2 linked regions of the Tamandua tetradactyla genome follow. The main gene of each other region encodes a partner of the protein of the gene in region 2 in a complex. Links are inferred from orthologs where the notes say so. Each region holds a gene or a part of one and is shown on either strand. Other genes may lie near its edges.

Region 1 (7,889 bases), on a different chromosome or scaffold from region 2:
GTGTGATCAGTGGCGCCAGTGACCTGGGCTGGGGGTGGGTGGGTTGACCCGCTCCACTGTGGTTCTCCAGCTTGGTCTGTTTGGCAGAGGCCACTCTTACTGACCATCCTGGAGAGGGTCCTTTCCTTAGGCTGGGCAGAAATGCTCGTGTCATGGGGAAGCACATGATGATCTCCTTCTGACCATCACTTGTTCAGACGGTATTCAGGAATCTTTGCAGCCCTTTTGAGCATTTTCTTTGTGTGTGTCTTTGCATCTTGCCCAGTGGGTCACTATCTTTAAAGGTAGGGAGGGATAAGCCTATCCAGGAATAGGTTGTTAATCACTAATACAATGTTAGCCAGCATTTATCAATGCTAGTTTCAGTCTTTTAAAATTGGCTATACCATCTTGGATAACCGAGATGACAACTGCAAATCTGTGATCTTAGGAGCCACTGAAAACATGTCTAAACCCAAAATTCCACTTACGTAATATAACAGACATCAGCTCTGGATCTTACTGCACTTAACTCCAACAGGCATGATAAAGTTACGGAAGACCGGCCTCCTTGATTTCCAGCCGTTGGAGGCAGGCTCTGGGGAGGGGCCTTCACACTAGGTGGGAGGAAAGGGTGTGGGGGCGCCTGCCAAGGGGTCAGCTTTGGAACAGGCTTCATGGACTCATAAGGCAACAGAAAAGCCACAAACCACCTTCAAGAGCCCAATAACTTCCAAAGAATCGTCCCTTCTTTGCCTACCTCTGAAATCAGGAAACAGTCTAAACAGTTCTCACTGCTGTGAGTAACGAGATTAACTGAGACGCTTCTGTGACTCCACTGGTGGGTCTGGAATGGGAGTTTCCAAGTCCAAGTGGGGTTTGTTTCCGTCACTCCCCACTGTACTCCTACCTGAGGCTGTTTCATTCCGCTTCACAGTTGTAGACACGTTCTGTTAACTTTAAATTGTGCATTTAAAATTCATTCTCAGATGTATTTTAAATTGGTTCTTAGAAACCTATGTCTTATGAAAATGAAAATATCAATTAATAATGGAAATAAGTATTTTATCAGTTGACTAGAACTATAGAATTGTTCCAAAATGATCAAAGCCACCAAAATAATCACCGAATATACACATCCAGTGTGAATGTGTTCAGGTACTTGACAGGATTTAAAAATATTTATTTTTATTCATAAATCTGAACATAGAAACATCCCACACATCATCACATAATTGTGTATTCATCACCATGATCCTTTTCAGAACACCTGCTCCAGAAAAACAAATAAAAAAATCCATCCATACATACTCATTGCCTCTCCCTCTCACTGACCACTAGTACTTCAATCTACCCAATTTATTTTAACCTTTGCCCCCCCCCATTATTTGTTCATTCTCCATCCGTACCCTGGATAAAGGGAGCATCAGCTGCAAGGTTTTCACAATCACACAGTCACATTGTAAAACTAAATCTTTATACAGTTGTCTTCAAGAACCAAATCTACTGGAACACAGCTCTACAGTTTCAGGTGCTTCCCTCCAGCCTCTCCAATACATAAACTAAAAAGGGATATCTATATAATGCGTAAGAATAACCTCCAGGATAACCTCTCGACTCATTTTGAAATCTCTCAGCCACTGAAACTTTGTCTCATTTCTCTCTTCCCCCTTGTGGTCAAGAAGGCTTTCTCAATTCCTGATGCTGGGCCTCAGCTCATCCCGGGGTTTTGGTCTCACGTTGCCAGGGAGATGTACACCCCTGGGAGTCGTGTCCCACGTGGGGGGTGGGGGGTGGGGGAGGGCTGTGAGTTCACGTGCCGTGTCGGCTTAGAGAGAGGCCACATCGCAGCAACAAAAGAGGTTCTCTGGGGGTGACTCTTAGGACCAATTTTAAGTAGGCTTAGCCTATCTTTTGCAGGGATAGTTCCACAGGAGCAAACCCCAAGATCAAGGGCTTGGCCTATTGAATTGGTTGTCTCCACTGCTTTCAGGAATATGTGAAATTCTCCGATTGGGGAAGTTGAATATTTCCTCCTCTTCCCAGTGCCCAAAGGGAATTTTGCAAGTGCTTCTTTATTCACTGCCCAGATCACTCTGGGATATATCGGGGCATCACACTAACCTCGACAACCAACAAAATCTCATACCCTATTCAAGATTCCATGTACTTTTAGTGTTCAACTAAACTGACCCCACAAGTTAAATTAGGAAATGCACTACCCAAAATATGTTTTGCACCCAAAAAAAATCCCTCTCTTTGGTCTCACAGAGAAGCTGAACTTTCAAAATATGAATAATATCATCCTTTACTCTGTATTCTGATTTACCTTAGTCCCATCCAGATCAGCTTCATTCATCGATTCTTCCTTCATAGGACTTTTGTGACTAGGAGCAGTACGTGATTATCTGATATGAATCCTAGTCACTCAGTAATAGCTAAAAGTGAGAAACAAAGCTTTTACCCCAGCAGTCTCTGATGGAAAAAGATGCCAAGTATACATTCTAACTAGTAGGGAATTTCATTCTGTGTCCCCTCCTTGGGTCACAAACATGGCCTTGGGACCAGAAAGTAAGTTCTCAAGAAACAAAAGGATGGGCACATCTCAAAGGTCACAGGAGTCACCTGAGACAGTTCCCAAAGGCCAAAGCGGGAACAATCTGAGCCCCCCAAAAAAAGACGTAGTATGAAAATATAACCCAAAGAACAAACATGAAATGATACTGATATAGATGACTGAATAATAAATAAGGGGAGAGGAGACACGTAGTCACGTGTGTAGATATGAACCGTCTACAGGACACAGAAGTCAATTCCCACCTCAGCCCTGAAGAAGGGGCTGGGCCTAGTGACCGGCCTCTGAAGAACAGAGGACGGAGAGGGAAGCACACTACCTCAAAGCCAAAGAGACCAGGCAGACACGACCTCGACCCAGTGCTGAAGGTCAGCCTCACCAGGGACGGGGCTTCCATGCACCCCTGTGTGCCCAAGACCTCCCCTCCAGCATCCTCCCAGCCACGCCCTGGGGTCACCCAGGGAAGACAACAAAGAAACCCAAACTGGGATACAATGCCCAAGACACCTGGACAGTCGCCACAGCACTGCCAAGGTCGTGAAAATCAAGGAAAAACTAAAACGCTATCACAGATCAGAGGGGACAGGGGCAACAGGACAACCAAATGCAATGTAACACCTTGGATTGGGTCCTGGGACAGAAAGAGGACATTAATGGGGAAAAAAATTAGAAATTCAAATAAAATATGGAATTTGGTTAAAAGCAATGCATCAATGTCTCTTTCTTAGTTTTGACAAATAGACTATGGTCCCACAACAAAGAATTATCGAGCTCAAAATGTCGATAGTGGCGGATGCCTGGGTGGTTCAGTGGTAGAATGCGCGCCTTCCACGAGGGAGACCCGGGTTTGATTCCCGGGCCATGCACCACCCCCACCCCCAAAACGTCAGTAACCCCAACACTGGAAAACTCCTGGACTGAGATGACAGCAGTAGAGGTGTCAGAATCAGCCAAGGTCAGGCCATGTTTGGGAGATACAGCCCACAAGATGTGATGCTATTCCAAAAGTAGGGGAGGGAGGGAGGGAGGGAGGGAGAGAGAGAGAGAGAGAGGGAGGGAGGGAGGGAGAGAGGGAGAGAGAGAGAGAGAGAGGGAGGGAGAGAGAGAGAGGGAGAGGGAGAGAGAGAGGGAGGGAGAGAGAGAGAGAGGGAGAGAGGGAGAGAGAGAGAGGGAGAGAGAGAGGGAGGGAGAGAGCCAGCACTGCTTCAGACATCTAAAGTGTGAGGTGGCCATTGATCCCCAGGGACGGTGTTAGGTGGAGAGCTGGGTATAGACGGATGGGGTGGTGGATAGATGGATGGATGGTAGAAGGATGGATGGATGATGGATGGGTGGGTGAGGGAGGGATGATGGATGGACGGATGGATGATTGATAGATGGATGGATGATGGACGGATGATTGATGGGTGGATCATGGACGGATGGATGATTGATAGATGGATGGATGATGGACGGATGATTGATGGGTGGATGAGGGATGGGTGGATCATGGACGGATGGATGATTGATAGATGGATGGATGATGGACAGATGATGATAGATGGATGGTAGAAGGATGGATGGATGATGGATGGGTGGGTGAGGGAGGGATGATGGATGGACGGATGGATGATTGATAGATGGATGGATGATGGACGGATGATTGATGGGTGGATGAGGGATGGGTGGATCATGGACGGATGGATGACTGATAGATGGATGGATGATGGACAGATGATGATAGATGGATGGTAGAAGGATGGATGGAAGATGGATGGGTGGATGATGGACGGATGATGGACGGATGACGGACGGACAGTCCAAGCAGGGAGAGGCTGGAGAAGAGACCTGGCCAGCCCTGAGCCCTGGGGCGCTGTAGCGTCCAGAGGCGGGAGGCGGGAGAACTCTGGGGACGGAATACGCTGCCTTGTAAGAAGCGAAGGGAGCTGCACCCGGCGGAGGACCCGCCCACGGAGCCAAGCGCAGCGAGGGGCCGGGGAGGTTCCGATGACCCGCCGCGCGGGGACGCAGCGCGCCAGGCGAGCGCGGGGGCGGCGGCGGCGAGCCGGGCGGCGCTCGGTCCTCGGCCTGGGCTGGGCTGGGGGCCGCGGGCAGGGCCGGAAGCGCGCAGTCGGTGCGCCGCCCGCCGAGCACGCCGCAGACGGCGGCCCCTCCGCGGGGGCGGGCAGGGGGCGCCGCGCACCTTCGCCTCGGCGCCGCGCAGCTTGACCCGGGCCCTTCCTTTCGGGGCTCGGCTTCCTAGTCGGCCAGGGAAACGCGAGGGACAGCAGGGCGGGCGGAGCGGGCGCGACGCACTTCCGGCGCGCGGCCCGAGGCCCTTCCGGCGCGCATGCCGCCCCGAGGTTCGGCCGCAGGCGTGCGATGGGTCCCGGCGGCTCGGGGCGCGGAGTCCCCGGGCCCAGCCTGAGGCACCTGACCGACCCCGCCTACGGGGCCCCGCGCGAACAGCAGGAGCCCGCCTTGCAGGAGCTGACGCGGGCGCACGTGGAGTCCTTCAACTACGCGGTGCACGAGGGGCTGGGCCGCGCGGTGCAGGTGAGGGCGGCGCCCCGCTGCTCGAGGCGGGCGGGGAGAGGCCGGGCGCGCCCAGCACGGCCGCCGGGGCTCGGGCTCCGTCGTGTTTCGAGGCGCCGTGCATGCGCCGGGAGCGGACTGGCGGAGGAGCGGGTGCGAGGGGCGGCCTTTGGCCCCTGGAGACCTGTCCGGTTGCGAACGGGGAGTTGGGCTTGTGGTTTTCTGGGTTTGTGGGTGACTGCGAACTGTGCGGATTCTGGGTCCTGAGGCCGGGAGGAGGCCACGCGCTGTCGCTGTGCTTCCCGACCGTTCACGCCGTGCGGACTTCTATACCGCGGGACCGCTTTCCTCGAAAGGTGTTGAGCCTGTTCCTGCGTGGGCTGTGAAGTGCTGGGTCCTCTCTCAGCTTTCTTTCTTTTTCCCCGCTTAGCGCTTTAGAGAAGAAAACCACGCTCTGAATGAGTCAGGTGTCGAGGAAAACGTGAGTGAGCTGTAGAGGCAGGGTTTCTTGTGGCACTCCCGGGAAAGTAGGACGTCCTCTGCAGTAGAAAAGGTGTCAGGCATCTTACTCGCCTGTGCTCAGCCCTAAGTGGTCGAGAAGGTGGTGGGGAAAGGTCTCGCCTGATGATCGCGCCTGGCTGTGAGGGGAACGGGGACGCAGAGCTTGCTTTTGAGTGTCGGTTTCACGGGGGGCCGGGTGGGGGTCTGAGACAGGGATTCTCCTGAGAACTGCTCGGCCCAGGTTGAGTAGCTGCTGTCGGTGCATATAGGAAATGCAGCCAGGTGTATGAGAAAGGTCCAGATTCGGGGAGTCGAAGGGAAGAGGAGAGTTCATTCCCTCCAGTGAAAGTGAAGGAGCAGAACCGCATTCTCAGGGAACGCTCTGCGGCCTGACGTTTCTGTTGAGTAGAATTTGTGTTTTCAGTAAGAATTGAGATAACATGAAGGACTTTGGTTGTCAGACTCGGGTACTTGCATTCTTTTCTGCAGGTAATGTGGGGGCCGTTGCAGTTTATGTTCCAAAGCAATTGGCTGTAGCCGGTTTTTTTAGATGTGTTATCACCTTGGCACTATAAGCATCAGTGCATGTAGAACACATGGGGTCTCAGAGTCTTTGAGAAAAAGTGCCCTGGAAGTGCAGTCATTTAACAGTGTGAATTGTATTTCAGGCTATACCTCCCTTCGAATTTGCTTTCCAAGATGAGCGCCTCTCTCTTACTATTGTGGATGCTGCCATCAGCCCACCCACAGTTCCAAAAGGGAGCATCTGTAAAGAGCTTAAGGTTTACCCAGCAGAATGCCGAGGCCGAAGGAGTACCTACCGGGGGAGATTGACAGTGAGTACACATGACATCGTGGCTCTGACACTTCACAACTCTGGTTAAGGGTGTATCTTATGAGTTTATACCGGAATGCTTTCTTAGTACAGTGATCTAGGAGAACCCGTCTTTTAAATCTAAATCATAAAATAATTTGTGGTCTTTTTCCTCACTGTTTTGAAATTCTCATTTTTTCTCGAAGATCCAGATAATTTTTCTTTTTTATTAAGTAATTTTTTTCTCATTTTTATTTAGGCTGATATCAGTTGGGCAGTGAATGGAATCTCAAAAGGAGTTATTAAACAGTTTCTTGGCTATGTTCCCATTATGGTGAAATCTAAGCTTTGCAACTTACACGGCCTTCCTCCAAAAGCCCTCATCGAGCACCATGAGGAAGCAGAGGTGATTGCTGGGACCCGGTGCCCTGAAAGGTCCTGTGGTAGGAGGGAGCAGGTTTGGGAGTGAGAAACCCTGAGGCTTCTTGGGAGTCAGTTTTTCTTTCTCTGCTCCCATTTCTCGGTACATAAAATGGGACGTGATGTCTTGTCTCCATCCTGCATAGGGCTTAGGATGTGACAGTTCAGATGAGTCGGTATATGAAAGTGTCGCTGTGCTATCCAGGAGTGTTTTTGCTGTGGCAGAAGAATTTGCAGATTTTCCTCTATTTTCTGAACGATGCAAATTTAAAGACATAATTCCAGGAAATTTGTCTGCTTTTTAACTTTTTATTTTGAAATAATTTCAAACTTAAGCCAAGTTGTAAAAATAATACAAAACCAATAGAGAACTCCCAAATACCCCCTACCCAGAATTATGATCTTTTAACATTTTATCACATTTTTTATCTCATTCTGTCTCAATCTGTTTTTCTAAACATTGGGCATAGGTTACATATATCATGTTCCTTTAACATTAATGCTTCCATGTATATTTCTTGAGAACAGCAATACTCGTTTATGTAACCACATTTAAATTCAGTTATCAAGTCCAAGAAATTTAATGTTGATAGTAAAGCGTACACTCTATATTCCAGCTTTTTCACTTGTCCCAATATTGTCCTTTTGGGCATTTTCTCCTCCGTTATTAGAGCCAGTCCAGGATCATGTCAATTGTTGTTGTCTCTTTTAAAAATTGTGATTTTACAGATTTCCCTTCTCAGCCACTCCCGAATTTCCAGTTCATTGGGGTTGGTTACATGCATATGTCTTGCTACCCTCACCACCCTCAATTACCACAACATCCTATCATCCCAAACTGAAAGACCATGCTCTGAACGCATTATGCATTATTGGGTTGATAGACACTTCCATCTTTTAGCACTTGTGAATAATACTGCTTCCATCTTGTAGCACTTGTGGATAATGGCGCTATGAACACGGTGTACAAATATCTGTCGAGTTCCTGCTTCCAGTTCTTTTGAGTATATATACCAAGTAGTGGGATTGGGAAAGTAACCTGATTTCCTTCCATATTCCCTCCCATGTCCCTGGAATCTTTTTCCA
Region 2 (7,545 bases):
GGCAAGGTCACGGTAGCTCTCTGTAAGTTCCCAAGTAAAGGTCTGAGGACTTATCACCTGGTGTGCAGTGCTTCTTTCTTCCAAATCTCAACAGGCTCCACTGTGGAGTGGCTGGAGCAGTCCCGGCCAGGTCTCCCCCATTTCTCCTTTCAGCAAAAGGTGACACAGAGCCATAAACATAAATGAATGTACAATAGAAAGTGATGAGGCTGCAGAAAGAGAAGCAAGGCAGGGTCAGGGAGACTTGAGGGGGCTGCGGAGTCAAGTGGGGACCTCAAGGAAGGCCCTGAAGAAAGGTTTAAGCAAGTCCCTGAAACAGGACTGGGTGGGAGCAGCTTGGGGTCTAGGGACAGGGTGTCGGGCCAAGGGTACAGGCCAGCGTACCCAAGGCCGGGCCTTGCCCGGTGTGTTGGCAGCAAGAGGTGGGGGGCCACAAGGAGGGACGGTCGGGGCTGAGGGGGGCAGAGCCAGGGAGGTCTGCGGTTTGGTTGTCAAGTGCAGGTTTTCTGTTCAGCCACTGCAATGTTTGGAGCTGCTGTTTTGGGGACAGCGCTGGGGGCTGGGTGATAGTGGGAAGGGGCCACCGGCCAGATGTGGGGATAGGGACTGGGGGAACTGTAAGCTGAGGGCGACCTGGTGTCTCCTGAAGGCAGAGCCCATGGTATTTGCAGATGGATGGAGCGTGGGGTCATGCCGGGGAGAATGGAGGTGGCCCCGATGGAGATGGGATAATGGGGGGGGGGTAGGTGGGGACAGGGGTCTTGGGCAGTGGAATTTGAGGCTCCGTGGGACTTTGAGGGGAGGTGGAAGGAGGGAGGAGGATCTGTGGAGTTCACGGTGAAGATCATGGTGGCAACTGTCCTGAAGAGGACCCCTAGGGATTTCTGGAGATATCTGTGGGTGTCACGACTGGGGAGGGGGTGCCCAGAGACCCTGATAAGCACCCCCAATGCCCAGGATGCCCCAACATTAGCTGTGCCTTTGGCGACAGATCCTGGCCTGGCACCGGGAGCGGGGGCGGCAGAAGGCAGAGGGGCTGGCCAGACCCTGGGGCAGCTGCCTGCGCTCCAGCCCTAGCTGTGTGACTTCTTAACCTCTCTAGTGCCTGGGTGCTCCCGCCAGACAAAATAGGGACTGGACCAACACCTGCTTCCTTGGAGAGCCGGCCAATAACTGCGCTCAGTGCCCAGGACGCAGGCATGGCCGAGAGCTTCCTAAGTAGGATAAAGGTGGAGGGGAAGGAGGAGGCTGCCAGGTGTCCCAGAAAGCAGGGGAGGAGGGGGCGGCCACCAAGTCGAGACTTGCTTTGTGTCTTTGACCAGGCAGCTGCAGGGAGGGGCTGGGGCAGGTGTGCAGGGGTGAAGGGACTGGAGCTGCAGACAGAGCTGCTGGCAATGGGAGAAAGGGCACTCAGGAATGAGGGTAAATGCAGGTGACAAAGGCTAAGCCCAAGAAGCAGTGGCCTTGGCTAGAGAGTGCATGTTCCAGGTGGCCTCGGGGTTCCTTGGGGAAGCCAGGGGAGGGAAGGGGTGGAGACGGAGGAGGGGGGGCAAGCGGGCTCCTCAGAGGGTTGCACCCTGTGAGGCCCAGCAATCCCCGAGATAAATTAAAACCCATGTCCACGCACAGACTCGTGTTCACAGCAGGATGTCATGGCGGAAAAAGTGGAAACAACCCAATATCCACCAGCAGATGGACAAAATATGACTGATCCCTACAATGGGCTATTATTCGGCCATAAAAAGGACAAGTATCACCTTTTGTTCCCACTTGGACTCTGAAGACATTCTGCAGAGTGAAAGAAGCAAAGAACAAAGCACAAAGCTCGTCTGATTCCAACTGATAAGGAACGTCCTGGCCAGGCAAACCCACACGGACAGAAAGGAGATTTGAGGTCACTGGGGTCTGGAGTGGGGCTGGGGAGTGGCAGCCGACAGGCATGGGGTCCCCTTTTTCGGGTGATGAGAATGATCTGGAGCCAGACAGTGGTGAAGGTTGCACAACATTGTGAATATACTAAAATCCACAGAACTGGACATGTTATACGTAGTTAAAATGGCGAATTTTATTTCAAAACGAGAGGATTACAAAAAAACTAGGTCATAGGACAGGCCCTGTAGACTGGTGGCAACTCAGGACAGACCTCGACCCTCTGGCCAGAGTACAGCTGGGCTCCAACCCCTCCCACCCCCACCCCACAGCTTCCACCTCGCCCAGGCCCCTTGGGGAGGTGATGGCCTGCGGCCAGGGCTGGGTGCAGCGGTCTTTCTATCTTTCCTCTCTCCGCCCCTGGCTCTAGGAGGGCGGCGCCCTGTGTTTTTGACAACACTGAAAAAAAAATCAGCCTTTCGGGGAAGGTGTTTACAGATCCAAGCAAAACTGAGAACATCTGAGCCTTAGGGCAAGCCCAGTGTGGTCAGGGCACTGGGCACTTCCGAGGGCGGCGAGGACTGGGTGGGAGTTCCTAGGAAGTGAGGGGGGCCCCACGGAGCCCACGGCCACCATGCCAAGAGACTCAGAGAAGCAGGCCCCTACTGACCCCGCGGAGGAGGGCTGTGTTGAGAAATGGACCTTATGAGGTTCCACATTAGCGGGTGACCTGGTGACCCTCCCTTCTTTGCCTCTGCCACCAGACGGCAGAAAGCAGAAACTCTCCCAAGGGCCAGTCCCGTGACGCGGGGAGGGGAGTTGGGGGTGCTGCATAACTCACGGGACCCAAAAGGTGGTGGGTCTGCCGTGCCCCTGTGGTCCAACGGCCGGGCCTTGTTTGGACGCGCTAAAAGGAAGTTGCCCCGTGTTGGAAATATACGCAAACCACGTGGGGGATGGGAAGTCACATGCCTGGAGAACTCCGGCGTGTTTTTTTCTGGGCGCACACCTGCGTGACCGTGAGAGTATTCCCGGGAATTTGGGCGCGCTTCCTGGCGGTTTGGACGACCTTTCCCACCCCCCACCCCGTGCCCTCGGGGAGAGTGGGAGGCATTCTCTCCCTCCCGCCGCTCGCACAACCGCCCGCAATCCCGACGCGCGGCGGCGTGAACTCAACCACCCACCCAGGAGAGCATGCGCAGTGGCTACCGACAACAGAGCCGCAGACCGCCCCCGCCCCACCATTGGTCACCAGTTGCACGCATCCATGGCCCGCCAATGAGGGCGTAGGTGGGCGTGGCCGAAGGCGGGAAGGTGCGGGGCGCCGGCGCGTGGCCATTGGTCGGTCGGTCAAAGGGAGGAGCCGCCGCGCTCCGCGCCCCCACCGCCGCGATGAGCCTTAGCCGCCTGTGCCGTCTGCTTAAACCCGCGCTGCTGTGCGGGGCGCTGGCAGTTCCCGGCCTGGCCGGCACCATGGTGAGCAGGCACGCAGGGCCGGAGCCGGGAGCCGTTGGGCCGCTCGCGGGAGCCCGGGAGCCGGGGGTGCGGCGTCCCCCCGGGGGGGGGCTCCTGTCCGTTTCTCCCCTCCCACCAGCCCCGGGCCGGGGGCGCAGCGGGGGACCGTACCCATTCACTTTGTACGCGGCCGCCGGGCCTGTCTGGGGCGTTGGGCAGGTAGCCAGTGCGGGATCGGGGGTGGGGGAGGCCGGCTGGGGATGGGAAGGCACGGGTGCGGTGGGAGGGTCAGGTTCGTTTCCCTGGGCTTCGGGGATGGGCTGTGGGCTGGACACAGTGTCCCAGGGCTGGGTGGGAGTGTTGGCGTCGGTGTCCGGAAGCCTGGGGGGGTGTAGGCGGCTAGCGGGATCGGCTGGGCGGCCAGTCCTCTGCGCACCCGGGCTTTGGCCTCGAGGGCGGGGCCATCGAGCAGGGAAACTCGGGTCACGCGCCGCGTCTCAGCGCCCCTCCCCCCGGGGCCCAGGGCGACAACGTCACAGAGCGCTGGCCCCGGGCGCCCTGGCTACGGGCCCTTTTCCCGCCCCCCGCACAGCGCGCTGGGGCACAGGCGGGCGGAGAGGGGCGGGCATGGGCCGCGCAGCTGCCCGCTCCCGGGGCCGCCGCGGGAAGCGGTGCAGCCGCCGGGGCAGGTCGTTGGGCAGAGGCCCCAGGCGACAGCCCCGCAGGCGGAAGGCCGGCAGGCGGAAGACCCGGGCCTGTCGGCGCCGGAGACCGCGCCCCCGGAGGAAGAGATCCCCCTGCGAGAGCCCGGGACCGGCGGCGCCTGCCGGGATCCCGGAGCCTTGCGTGATTCCGGAGCCTTGCAGGGTCACGGACCCTCTTGCGGCCCCAGTTAATTCTGTAAAATGGACCCCGCTCCGCGGGCGGGGAGGGGGCGTGGCCGTTGGGGGCGGCACTTTCCTCTAGTCCTGGGCCGTGGCTTCCTTGGGGCGCGAAGGGCCGTTCTCTGGAGGTGCGCGGTGGGGTAGCTGCCCCGCGCCTGGCCCCCAGCGTGTCTTTGCCTCGCAGTGCGCGTCCCGGGACGACTGGCGCTGTGCCCGCTCCATGCATGAGTTCTCCGCCAAGGACATCGATGGGCACATGGTGTGCTTGGACAAGTACCGGTGCGTGCTTGCCGGCCAGCCCAGGGAGGGAAACGGGGCACCCCGAAGGGTAGCACCAGCGCCCCCTGACCACGCTTCCCTCGTCTCCAGGGGCTGCGTGTGCATCGTCACCAATGTGGCCTCTCAATGAGGCAAGACAGACGTAAACTACACTCAGCTCGTCGACCTGCACGCCCGATATGCTGAGTGTGGTTTACGTATCCTGGCCTTCCCCTGCAACCAGTTTGGGAAGCAGGTGCGTGGTCCCTGAGGACAGGACAGGAGGGGGAGGGCAACTGGGAGTGGGTAGAAGGTTTGGGACCCAGGTGCGGGTCAGGACTCAGGACAGCAGGACGATGGTGTGGGAGGGGTGGGGCAGGCCCTTGCCCCACTCCCAGTGCCCTGGCTGTCTGCAGGAGCCAGGAAGCAATGCGGAGATCAAAGAGTTTGCAGCCGGCTACAACGTCAAGTTCGATATGTTCAGCAAGATCTGCGTGAACGGGGACGATGCCCACCCGCTATGGAAGTGGATGAAAATCCAGCCAAAGGGGAGGGGCATCCTGGGAAAGTAAGTGCTCCCCACCCAGCTGCGGGGGTGGGGGTGGGGGGCTGAACCCCTCTAGGGAGCCCTCCTGACCTTGGGCCTCTTTTCTGCAGCGCCATAAAATGGAACTTCACTAAGGTAAGGAGGTCACCAGCTGGAAGAGGAGACTCCCACTTCTGCCCTCTACTTTCCCTTCTAATCCCCCCAATCCAGCCCAACTCCCCTGGGCTATCAGCCACAGCCTTCGTGCCTCACCCCCACTGGCCCATGGCCCCACCTTGGCACAAATAGGACAGCAGGTAGTGAGGGGCCTCGCAGGCAGGAATCTGCATCCCTGACTACCCCTCACAGTTCCTCATTGACAAGAATGGCTGTGTGGTGAAGCGATATGGTCCCATGGAAGAGCCCCTGGTAGGTGCCGTTTGAGGGAGCCGGGGGTGGGTAGGAGTGCTCCATCAGCTGTCCTGATCTCCCTCTTCTCCCACAGGTGATAGAGAAGGACCTGCCCTGTTATCTCTAGTTCTACAAGTGTGTGCCATCTTCGTGTCCCCCACCCGTGCCCCTGCCTGCAGTCCTGGAGCCTTCCACCCAGCACCCATGATGGCCTGCCTGCAAACCAGCCCACTGGTGGGGCAGACCTGAGAACCTGGCGTGCAACCTCTGCTGGAGGAAGGACCCGGCTGCCGGCGTGGCAGGGTGCCCCCACCCCTGGCTGCCTTGTGGGAATAAAATTTACAAACAGGCCTGCTTGGACCTCCTGCATCCACAGGGGGAGCCCCATGGCCATTCCTGCTGGGGCAGCTCGAATTGGGATTTCTGCAGCTCAGTCCTGGGTTGACATCAGGGCATGGCCAGTTCCTGGAAATTCCTCCCAACGGGCTGCTTGTCCAGGCACGAGGCCTTAACCCATTAGATGGCCAAGCTGGTCTAGGCAGTGAGCCAGGCTGCTCTACTTGCCAATCTCGTGGTGTAGGCATTAGCCCAGGGTACCCATGCCTACCCTCTGGGCTCCATCTAGTCCCATCCAGGGGAAAGTGAACTGTTGTAAAGGTACAGCTATCTCTGGGTCCCTCTTAGGAGGGGTAGGGATGGCCTGGGACCTGAAGAGCTGGCAGTCATGTTGAGGATCTGCCCTTGGGGGCTGTACAGAGTCCCCAAGAGGTGGTCTGTGCCTAAAGGAGGAGCTAAGGAAGAGGGTCCCAGGCAGAACTCCCTAGCCTGGATGCTGCTGGGGCACAGTACCTGAAGCCAAGGTGAATGGGCCCTGACACAGGCTGGCCAGTAGCAGCTGCCTTAAGAACTGGTACCACAACCACAGTAAACAATGGTCCCTCAGGTAGGCGTGAGCCAGGGGGTGTGATGTAGGCCAGGTCAAGGTGGGCTGGTTTCACCCCTAGGGGAGCCCATAACTCTCAGCCGCATTTCTAGGTGGGCCTTGTTCTAGCTGTGCTGGTCCCTGTCTTGCTTTGGAGCAAATACAAACCAGCAGGCAGGACGAGCAGACTTTGGGAAGTAGTCAAAAGGCACATATATTTAAAAAAAAGATCTGTTTACATATATACACAAGTTATAAATACACGTAGAAACCAGAGGACTGCTCCCTGCTGCCCCAGGTGGACTCCCAGGGTCCTGGGGCAGTGGCCGAGCAATAATTTAGGGAGCAAGGGAAGGAAGATGGAGGGTTGCATATATTAATGGGGAGGGGGGCTGCCCCATGAGCCACGCCAAGGCTGGGGGGATGGCTCTGAGCACCTGGGGTTTCCTGAGTTTCCAGCTCTTGGGACCACCCAGTTTCACGAAATTTGAGGCAGGGACCTCCAAAGGTGGGAGGAGGAGCAGAGCTAGGGGCTCTTGATCCTAAAGCAGCCTGCTCAGACCCCCTGTCCGAGGCCTGGGAGGATGGAGAGGCCAGAGGCACAGAGGTTGTGGACCCCTCAGCCCCTGCACCCCAAGTCGTGAGCTGGGCAGTGTCCCTACCAGGTGAGGCCTTGAGGGGTACTCCCCCCTGCAGGACCAGCCAGCGTCTGGGGGGCTGCTCAGGCACTGGACCCTGAGAACCCGGAGGATCAGGGCTTCTGGGAAGGCACTGCAGTGGCCGGCTGCCGGGGGGCTGGATGAGGGCACCGGACCTTTCCATCAGCGGCAGGCAGGGGAACTTAGCCCTGCCCACCACCTACAGAGGTGAACCATGATCCCTAAAGAAGTCCTGCTTGCCTGGGGCCTAGGAGTTGGCAAAGGGGGGGCTAAACTGGATGACACTCTGCCGCCCTGCCACCCCCGCACCCCCTAGTGGCCCTCCACCACCCCCCAGTGGCCCCGGCTGGGCAGTGGGGGGTGCTGCATGCAGAGAGCGCAGCATGTCCTCCAGCACCTCCTTGAAGTTAATGTCGCAGCCTTGCTGCAGGAGGTCAGTGGGGTCGGCCCGCACAGCGGGGGCCAGGGCACTGGGGGCGCCAAGCAGCAGGGAGCCGGGGGCTGCGGGCTCCAGGCCCAGCGGCGGGAAGGTGAAGTGCGCAGCGGGCGCCAGGGCCTCGG

The links. The genes of interacting proteins can lie anywhere in the genome.
Region 1: POLR2E (region 2) and POLR1B share a complex: the UniProt entries of both Homo sapiens proteins name them as parts of the pol I pre-initiation complex. The link is inferred for Tamandua tetradactyla from reciprocal best matches to the Homo sapiens genes POLR2E and POLR1B.

Annotation. Positions count from the first base shown.
Region 1 is NC_135343.1:496,709-504,597, reverse strand, and holds the start of POLR1B (DNA-directed RNA polymerase I subunit RPA2), read left to right. Parts: upstream 1-4,888; 5' UTR 4,889-4,915; coding exon 4,916-5,089; intron 5,090-6,237; coding exon 6,238-6,405; intron 6,406-6,642; coding exon 6,643-6,789; intron 6,790-7,889. UniProt on the Homo sapiens protein: Catalytic core component of RNA polymerase I (Pol I), a DNA-dependent RNA polymerase which synthesizes ribosomal RNA precursors using the four ribonucleoside triphosphates as substrates.
Region 2 is NC_135337.1:81,867,259-81,874,803, reverse strand, and holds the start of POLR2E (DNA-directed RNA polymerases I, II, and III subunit RPABC1), read right to left. Parts: upstream 3,017-7,545; 5' UTR 2,842-3,016; intron 210-2,841; exon of another isoform or gene 147-209; 5' UTR 1-146. Other genes in the region: SBNO2 (protein strawberry notch homolog 2), read right to left, coding at 7,232-7,545. UniProt on the Homo sapiens protein: DNA-dependent RNA polymerase catalyzes the transcription of DNA into RNA using the four ribonucleoside triphosphates as substrates.